2 linked regions of the Macaca fascicularis genome follow. The main gene of each other region encodes a partner of the protein of the gene in region 2 in a complex. Links are inferred from orthologs where the notes say so. Each region holds a gene or a part of one and is shown on either strand. Other genes may lie near its edges.

The links.
Region 1: the proteins of MMP10 (region 2) and TIMP2 are in contact, whole or in part, in a crystal structure (PDB 4ILW), measured with the Homo sapiens proteins. The link is inferred for Macaca fascicularis from reciprocal best matches to the Homo sapiens genes MMP10 and TIMP2. Residues at the interface, in NP_002416.1 of Homo sapiens: Glu155, Asp169, Phe170, Tyr171, Ser172, Pro176, Gly177, His178, Ser179, Leu180, Ala181, His182, Ala183, Tyr184, Pro185, Pro188, Gly189, Leu190, Tyr191, Val214, His217, Glu218, His221, His227, Pro237, Leu238, Tyr239, Phe242; in NP_003246.1 of Homo sapiens: Cys27, Ser28, Cys29, Ser30, Pro31, Val32, Gln36, Ala37, Asn40, Ser57, Gly58, Asn59, Asp60, Tyr62, Asn64, Pro65, Ile66, Lys67, Arg68, Thr91, Ala92, Pro93, Ser94, Ser95, Ala96, Val97, Cys98, His123, Leu126, Cys127.

The regions. Positions count from the first base shown.
Region 1 is NC_088390.1:85,257,017-85,261,779, forward strand, and holds the end of TIMP2 (metalloproteinase inhibitor 2), read right to left. Parts: intron 3,602-4,763; coding exon 3,404-3,601; 3' UTR 727-3,403; downstream 1-726. UniProt on the Homo sapiens protein: Complexes with metalloproteinases (such as collagenases) and irreversibly inactivates them by binding to their catalytic zinc cofactor. Known to act on MMP-1, MMP-2, MMP-3, MMP-7, MMP-8, MMP-9, MMP-10, MMP-13, MMP-14, MMP-15, MMP-16 and MMP-19.
Region 2 is NC_088388.1:101,790,680-101,795,442, forward strand, and holds part of MMP10 (stromelysin-2), read right to left. Parts: intron 3,300-4,763; coding exon 3,135-3,299; intron 2,950-3,134; coding exon 2,805-2,949; intron 1,851-2,804; coding exon 1,717-1,850; intron 1-1,716. UniProt on the Homo sapiens protein: Can degrade fibronectin, gelatins of type I, III, IV, and V; weakly collagens III, IV, and V. Activates procollagenase.

The sequences.
Region 1 (4,763 bases), on a different chromosome or scaffold from region 2:
AGGTTGCAGTGAGCCAAGATTGTGCCATTGCACTCCAGCCTGGGTAACAGAGCAAGACTATCTCAAAAAAAAAAAAAGTAGTTTTTATTTTTTAAACATGCGTACTGGAATATTGATAAATGAGACTGTTTGATGCCTGGAATTTTTTTTTCCAAATAATTTTGGGCGGGGTGGGTGAAGACTGAGGGTAGGTCTAAAGCTGGCCATGAAGCCCTCAGTGTTGAAGCTGTGAGACAGGTGCATGGCTCTGCGTTTCTCTATAATAAAACGTGCTGAATGAGGGGGACCCTGTCCTACGCTTCTGCCTCTTCATCCACCTAAGAAAACCACATTTGCTTTTACCTGTCCCATCTCTGCCACCACAGCTCAAGTGATCCTCCCATCGCACCCTTTGGGTAGCTGGGACCACAGACAGATGCCACCACACCTATTTTTTGTAGAGCCGGGGTTTTGCTAAGTTGGCCAGGCTAGTCTCGAACTCCTGGACACAAACGATCCACCCGCCTCAGTCTCCCAAAGTGCTGGGATGACAGGCGTGAGCCACTGCACCTAGTCTGCATCCCACATTTGACTCAGAGCTCACTGGCCTTGTTTCTCTGGAGGACACAGGGCGCCCCCTCCCGCTGGACAGGAAAGGTTCCTTGCAGGGGCTGATTCCCATTCTTGAGCTAGAAAGTGGCCATTCTGAATGTAGGATACAGCCACACAGAGAGAGCCCACGTTCTCTTTGATAATACTGTTTATTGTCCACGGACCGAGCGATTGCTCAAGAATGATACAAAGCATCAGAGACATGCGCAGTCTGCTTGTCAACTTCCAACAACTCTTGTGTGTTCCCAGCACCGGAAGGTCTCAGACTTCATATTCCAGCAGAAACACAGTGCTCCCCTCCCCCAAAACTCCAAACGAAAACAAAATCAACAGAGCTTTAAATTACGGCAGCAAGTCCAATATTTCTTAATACTTATCAAGCAAAGATTTGAAAATAACTACAATGTAAACTTTATTTTAAATATTTTGAGTTGCTTGCAGGATGAAAATAGGAGAAAAGAGCTGTGCTTAGAACATAACATATAAATTAAACGATGCCAAATGGAGAGCCTTCTTAAACTATATATATATTGCCATTATTTACTGTGAAGGTATTTGAGCGGCTTCCTCTCTCAGCTGCCACCAGGCTCTTCTTAACCTGTTTTGTTTTCTACTCAGCATGGTTAAAAGACCAACGTGTGTGGATCGACTATAAAGGCCACACCTTTCAGACCGAACCTACTCAAAGATCCTTTACTTTGTAATAATTTGAACCGGAGAACCAAAGACGGGAGACGAATGAAAGCAAAGATGCTCAAAGAACCCAAGGAAAGACCTGAAGGAATCCACCTGCATAGGCCACGCGTTCCGCTCCGGGTCAAATGCTTCCACGATGCAGAAACCTCTTTTTAAAAAAGTGCAAGTCTAACACCTACCAAGGGTAATAAAAAACACAGCACAGGAATGATTACAGTTGATGTCAAAAACAAACCAAAACATTAAAAAAACAATCGGCAGAAACAGGAGTAAATGTTACATATGATATCACCGTACAGGAAGCGAACGGGGGTGGGGTGTTACATGGGTTGGAGGGGTCTGGTGGAGTTGTATATACTGAAATCACATGGACTGGTCCATTATGACATCTTACCAACTTTAGATCACTGTACAGCATGAAAACGCCCGTGGGGCAGGGGCCGATTCCTGGATACCCTCCCAGTCTGCCCTAGAAAGGGAAGTCATCAAGATCTGTGCTGACCAGGTCCCGATGGGCATGGGGCCTGCATGCCACTTGGGGGTCAGGAGTCTTAACAGGTGCTTTGGGGTTGCCACTGAATAGAACAGGCTAAGGTGGCTTTGGAAGCATTTTGCAGGACCACTCCCAGGCCGAAAAGCTTCAGTTTCATTGCGTGTGTATGTTTACATAATGTGCCTATATATCGTCAGTTTATCTTCACAACACAGGTGGGAGCAAAAGAGATTCTCCTTATCGTTACCGAGAAAGTTCTTCCTATTCTGATCCCCATATCACGGGCTTCAGGAAACCATGTTTAGGGAACACATAGGTTCCCTAGTTCCCTAAGAAGTTTCTTAGCTAGGTCATCTTTGTCATTTGAGAAATACAAGCAGAAGTTGGTATATCTGCAACTCAGGTTCACCTATCATCTGAGAATCATCTGAGAATTCATCGTTAGAAAAAGGAGATGTCTCTTAAAACAGGCCCAAGTATCCTGGAGGCTCAGAAAGAAGTGAGAGTGTCACCAAAGCCACCTACCTCCAAAATCCTTCCCTTCCTAGGCTGGACTTCTTACTACACTTAGCTGGCGTCATGTGCAGAAAGCCCCGTGCAGAATGATGGCTGTCAGTCTTTGAGGGAGAGAACACTAAGCCCAGGAGGGCACAGCAAGACCCAGCTTTTTCTGTCCTCAGGATGTGCAGATGGGGAGCACAGCCAGGCCCTGCACACAAGCCCAGATAAAGCAAAGCCGTGCCACTCAATCCAGGTGCCTGGTGCCAGAATGGGCAAGAAGCAATGGCAACCACAGCAGCTCAGGAAGGGACCTTGAGGGCAGCCACCGGCCCCGGACAGCAGCCTCAGGACAGGACCTCACCAATTCCCCCTGCAGGCTGGGGAAGCATGTGGACGGGGGGTGCAGGAGACCAAAAAGACTCAGCTGAGGCTGGGGTTCCTCGCTCCCATTTCTACAAGGCTCAGAGGGAGGCTCCCACTGGAATTCTGAGGATTAACAGGATTGATGGGGCTCCTTCAAGAATAAGCCGCTGGTTCCAGGCTGTCCCTGGATGTGGGGGGAGCCACAGGTGCTGGGAGGTCATGGTGGGCACCGGGGTGATGGGGGCACTTGCCAGGGGCAGGGAGTGTTACACTAGGGCCAGAGGCGTGGAAGCTGCAGAAAACAAGGGCCATGCCCCTCTCAAGATGAAAGGGACCTGGTAGGCCTGCTACACAGTCTTGCAACGACCCTCAAAAGTTTCTGCAAAATGCACATTTCCAGGCCCCGCCCTAACCCGGCTGGGAGATCCCTAAGTGCTGCCTGCTCGGCATCTGTGACGGTGCCAAGGCAGGGACTGGGAGGCAAGCTACATGTCCCAGCCCTGCCTGCACCCAAGGATCGAAGCCCCAGACACACAGTGCCTGGCAGAGGGAGGATGGGATGAGGACCCTGGACCCATGTCTCCCTCCAGACCCACAACCGTGTCTAAAAGGAGAAGCGGGGAGCAGAACTGTACTAATTTGGACCCACGGGATGAGTGTTTTATTCATGCTGTTTCCAGGAAGGGATGTCAGAGCTGGACCAGTCGAAACCCTTGGAGGCTGTTTTTGCAGTTGGCCACAGGGGTGTTGTAGGCCTGCTTATGGGTCCTCGATGTCAAGAAACTCCTGCTTGGGGGGCGCCGCGCCGCGGTACCACGCACAGGAGCCGTCGCTTCTCTTGATGCAGGCGAAGAACTTGGCCTGGTGCCCGTTGATGTTCTTCTCTGTGACCCAGTCCATCCAGAGGCACTCGTCCGGGGAGGAGATGTAGCACGGGATCATGGGGCAGCGCGTGATCTGGGGAGGGGCACACAGAGGGGGACGGAGTCAGGGACCCAGGAAGGGGTGGGCAGAGGCTGCTCTGGGGGCATGTCCAGAACCCGGCAATGTGCCTACCTGCGGTGTGCAGGGACGGCAGCCTCTCCCGAGACCCACAGCTCCTGCAGGGGCAGGCGGCTGGCCTGCGAGGGGGTCTTACCTGCAGGGAAGCTGTGCCCCGCCCACCGGGGCCCCCCTCCTGCTGCAGGTGTGCTTCCCTTTGGGCCATCTTCTACCTTCCTGAGCATGAGAGAATGGCCTGGCTTGGCCCTGCCCTCTGGGGGACATAGCAACAATAAAAGGGCCTGGGTTTCCTGGAGACAGATTCCAGCCCAGTGAAAAGGCCGGGAATTGGGAACTGCTCAAGGCCGAGCCCTGAGGTCATAGGCAACTAGCAATTTGGCAAAGGAACCCGAGGCTACAAGAGGATGACTGCCTTCACTGCCCCATGGAAAGAAAAAGGAAGAACTTGCTTTTGATTTCATGCTGGGCACAGAGGAGTTTTGCTTAACATATGTGTGGCTGGAGACTATGAGTTCAGAATTCCTGTTTTGAACATGCTGAGAAGGGGCTGGTGGCCGTCAGGAGGGAGGGCAGCCCCAGGCAGCTCCCCAAGGAAGGCCAATCCCCACGGCCTCACCAGAGTCTACTGGTCCCAGACTCGCTGGGAGTGACCCAGGGTGGCAGGTGCCCAGCACTCAGCAATGCTTCCGGCAGGAAGGGTGGGGATAGGGTGCTAGGAGCCCACAGGGTAGGAGCCAGCCCGGGAGCCCTGGAGGTGGTGATCTCGCCTTCCACAGTCACATCCAAGCGTCGGGCTGCTACGACTGTGCCTGGCACAACCTCCGGGCTCATTTGAAGAGGAGCAGGTGTTCTCAACACACAGACCCCACGTAGACACCGACCCAGGTGTGAAAATGTCGGGAATGTTGGAAAAAGCATGAGGCCTGCAGTGCCCTCTCACAAGGCACACAAGGGTTTGCATATCCGCATTTGTAGGAAATGATCCATGGGACCATATTCTCCCCATACAGCTCCTTTTTCTGGAAGGGGCAAGTAACAGAGCTGAATTCATGCCTTACTCTCAAATTTCCTAGCCTTCTAGACATCCCCCTCCATTTTTTTTTTTTCTTTTTTTAAG
Region 2 (4,763 bases):
CAAAATCCCATCCATCTCTCTGCCTTTACTTTGTTACATCACTCTCCAGGACCCCAAGCCTGAATTCCTTCTTCACACTACTGCCAGATTCACTAATCTAAAATGCCCATCTGTTGTTTATCTCTCTTGCTTCATCTGAACTGAATGACTTTTATGTGTCTGAGCAGTTCCAGATATGCTCTTACTTGGCAAAAACAATTTCTTCTTTCTTAGAGATCTTTCTACTTCCTGTACACCCAGCCGATCTCTGCACAGCAAAAGAGAACTTCAAGACCCATCCTAACATCACTTCCTCTAAGGGATCTTTGCTGAGCCCTGGATATGAGTCAGATGCTCCCATGGCACCCTTCCTTCTCTCAGTACCAGCACTTGTCATACGTAGGCTGCCTATGGCTTCATCTCTGCTGCTCCTTCTAGAATATGAGCCCTTTTCAGTCCTGACCTCCACTAATGAGCATAGTGTCTGACACAGTGCAAGTGATATGTAAATGTGAGATACATTACTGGATAATAATATGTTAGAGTTATAATTCTTTACAATTTCTATTGCAATTTCACATTCATTTAATCTTCACAAAAGTGAGATTGCCAGAAATAAACATTTTTAAAATCTTCATAAAGCTTGACATTTAAAAATATTCCAATATCACCTATAAGTCTAGGGGAAAAATAAAGATGAGAAATTAAAGAATTAAAATTGAACAAAATGAAAATACTGCATATCAAAATTTGCTGAATAAAAAAGAAGAAATGGTTATTTATAGGTATAAATGCTTATATTAGAAAAGAAAAAAGTTACAAGTTAATAAGGTAAGTATCAAACTTAAGCTATAACAATAATAACAGGATCAATTAAAAGTAAACAAAACTTAAGGCAACAATAAGGATATGAACAGAAATTAGTTAAATGGGAAATCAAAATATAATATAGAGGATAAATAAAGCCAAAAGTCAGTCCTTTGAAAAGATCAATAACATTATTACATACATTATGAGATTAATAAAGAGAAAAAGAGAAAGGCAAAAGGGTTCAGTATTGGGAATGAAAAAGAGAACAAAACTTCAGCAATAATTCAAATTACAACAAAATAATTTTCCAAAAACTTTTTACTGATGGATTTGAAAACAGACAAAATTGGCAAACTTTTAGAAAAACATGTTAACAAAACTGACTCAAGAAGTAATAGAAACTCAAATAGCATATTACCAATAAAACAAATTGAAACCGTAGTTTAAAAATCTGATAAAGAAGCCGCCATACCTGAATAGCTCCATTAGTTAATTTATCTCTCCCTGAACTGATACTACATCTTACTGATTAAAGTTTTATAACACAGGGCTTTTCTCCTTATCTAATAAGATGGGTTCACCAGGAGCCTCCTGGCTATTCTCTTTGCTGCCGTATAAATTGTAAAACTAATTTGTCAAGTTCCATGAAAAATCTTTTGGCATTTGAAATGAAAATGTCTTGTATCTATAGATAAATTGACATTTTTACTATATTGCATTTTTTATCCATGAATATGGAATACCACCTATTCACTTAAGAGGTCTCTAAAATAAAGTTTATAATGTTCTTTGTACAAATTTTATTTAAGTGTTAGCACAAGGTCTTGCAGTAATCTAAACTTTAATATAATGGAGAAAACTCATGTCGATAAAATTTTCACACTAGGATTTATTCCAGCAAGTTGAAAATTCTTATATAGTACTCACCTTTAAAAATAAAAACAGTATCCCTGCTATTAACTTCATATGCAGCATCCAAATATGACGGGAGAGAGGGCCAAAATGTAGAAATCAAATGAAATTCAGGTTCAGAGTTCCAGTGGGATCTTCGCCAAAAATATCTGTAATACATAAAATTACTTGCAATTGTCTTTCTCCTTTAGCTATGTGAAAAAAAGTATTCTTTTAAAAAAAATCCATGCTAATTCACGCATTCATAGAAGTCTATATTAAACCATCCTCCTGCATGTGATTCCAGGGTAATAAAATTGATGGCAGGACTTGTGACTGGTTCCAATAAAATTATTTAGCTTGCTTCCACTCTGAAAGTCCATAAACAGTGTGTATATTATGTCCTAATATTTTAAAAAATATTATGTGCGTATTGATGCTTGTATATGAATAGAACATTTCTGTAAAGAGTTAAAGGAAATTGGTAGCAGTGGTTACACATGTGAAGGGAGCTGGGGGACTGTAGACCAAAGACTAGAGAGAGATTGTTTAACTCTGTATCTTTTGGCAGTGTCTAAATATTGTGCCATAAGCATATATCACTTTTTTCCAAAAGTAATTAATTTAAGTAGTAGCAATTTTTAGCAAAGGGAAAGATATCACCCTGTTTCTAAGGATTCACCAGTGCTTTCTGAAGAAGTTCCATGATTTATATTTTAAAAAATGAACAAAACAGATATAACTCCCTGCCTTAATCAAGCTTACAGTCTAGAATCATCCCTTGTAAGTGTAAAAAATGACCTGGACAATTCTAACAGGATGTTAAAAATTCAACAAGAACTAGATCTGAATGATTTTAAAATATAGAGAAAATTTTGTATTTAAAAAAATCTCTGTCAAGCAGAAAAAGTAACTACCGGGTACTAGGTTTAGCACTGGGATGACAAAATTATCTGTACAACAAACCCCCATGACACGAATTTACCTATATAACAAACCTGCACATGTAGCCCTGAACCTAAAATAAAAGTTTTTTAAAAAAAACCTCTATCAAATTTCTGTTTTCCTTTCTAAGCACTGTACATCAAAAGAATAGACAGAAAAATATAATTTTCTGGTCTGACCTGTCTTTAAAGAACAGATATTCTCCCCTCAGAGTGCTGATGGCATCGAAGGACAAAGCAGGGTCGCACTTGGCTGGCGTCCTAGATCCTGAAGGGACGGATTTCGTGGGCACCAGGGGTTCCTCAGTAGAGGCAGGGGGAGGTCCTAAAGGAGACAGATTTGGGGATGCAAACATTTAAAAAATGTGATGCATCTGTCAATTTGTATGCCTTTCAAACATTCTCAAAGTGCTTCAAGCTAAATCAGAAATACTTTAGGTAGCATTGGAAAGCTTTCTTGAGGACTGTCGTTGCAGAGCTACAATGCCTAATTTTTCCAGCATCACTCACCATAGAGAGACTGAATGCCATTCACATCATCTTGTGAAAGGTGGAACCGGGTCAGCTCTGTGAATGAGTTGTAGAGTGGGTACATCAAAGCTTCAGTGTTGGCTGAGTGAAAGAGCCCCAGGGAGTGGCCAAGTTCATGAGCAGCAACGAAGAATAAATTGGTGCCTGTATGACAACCATAAATGTTCAGAATCCACCAGCTATTTATTCCGTAAATACACATACAGAACATATGCCAGCTGTGCAGGCCATCCTTGAAACCACATGGTCTTTTCAGTATTTGTGGATTGGTTCATTGATTGGCATATTCCATACTTTATAGAAATTAATGTGTTTTTCAAGGTTGACTTTAAGTCAATATATAAGACAGTTTTTCACCGTATCGCTCCCTAGATCCCTCCTTGGTCAGGAAAACTAAGACACTTTTCCTATATTGACAAATGAGAAGCATTATTTCCAAAGATTTTTTTTTTGAAAGGACAAGACTAATATCCATGTCAATAAATATAACTCTTCGTTGTCTAAAAGTAAAAAGTCATTGTTCAAATTTAGGAACATGTGCCAGTTGCAACCTCGGTTAAAATTAATCATATAACATTTATGTTGCTCCCCAAACTTTTAGGCCACAAGACTGTAGTTATTTCTTGTGGAGTTTAGTCTGATTTGCTCTTCCTCCTCTTCATCATACTCAAGTAACTGTTTTTTTTTGAGACAGAATCTCACTCTGTTGCCCAGCCTGGAGTACGGGTTCAAGCGATTCTCATGCCTCAGCCTCCTGAGTAGCTGAGATTACAGGCACGTACCACTATGCCCAGCTAATTTTTATATTTTAGAGATAGGGTTTCACCATGTTGGCTAGGCTAGTCTCGAACTCCTGGCCTCAAGTGATTCACTCACCTTGGCCTCCCAAAATGCTGGGATTACAGGCATTAGCCACCGGTGCTCAGCCATAATAAAATAATTTTTGATTGTCAAAAATCTTCCCAGTAATAAGTGCCATTGGATGTGTACAATCTTTAGTTTAAAACAGAAACATGCCCAATAACAGTTTTCTGCAGCACAAGCACAGCTAGATTCAGCTTTTAAAAAAATATTATAAAAAGAGTTTTATCGAATTTAGTAGTAGATATTTGACCAAGGCTCCAAGAATTGTGCAGAAAAGAACAATTGTTCAAATAAAAGGCAATCATTTCATGCAACACAGATTTCAGTCTTGTGAGACAGAGTTGCCCAGGTTGGAGGACAGTGGTGCAATCTCGGTTCACTGCAGCCTCCATCTCCTGGGTTCAAGCGATTCTCGTGCCTCAGCCTCCTGAGTCTTGTACTCAGGAAAGATGTTCTTTGCATTTACATTAAAAATCCCAGGCACTCTCAGAAATAGTGATTGTTTCAACAGTGTGTTTCTAAACTTTAGAAGCCATTTTAAAAATTAAATAGCATACAGTTAATTTTTGTCATTATGTTTAGATGTAAAGTGTTTCAAAGCCCATTTAGGGGGGAAAAAACCCCATCTAAGCTAGAGATAGTGACATGTTTATTTAAAAAGATGATCTAACAGTGTTTTTTTCAGTTCCTGGCATTTTCTCCTGATCTCTACTTTTAAGTAAAAAGGAGGCCAATGAGAAGAAA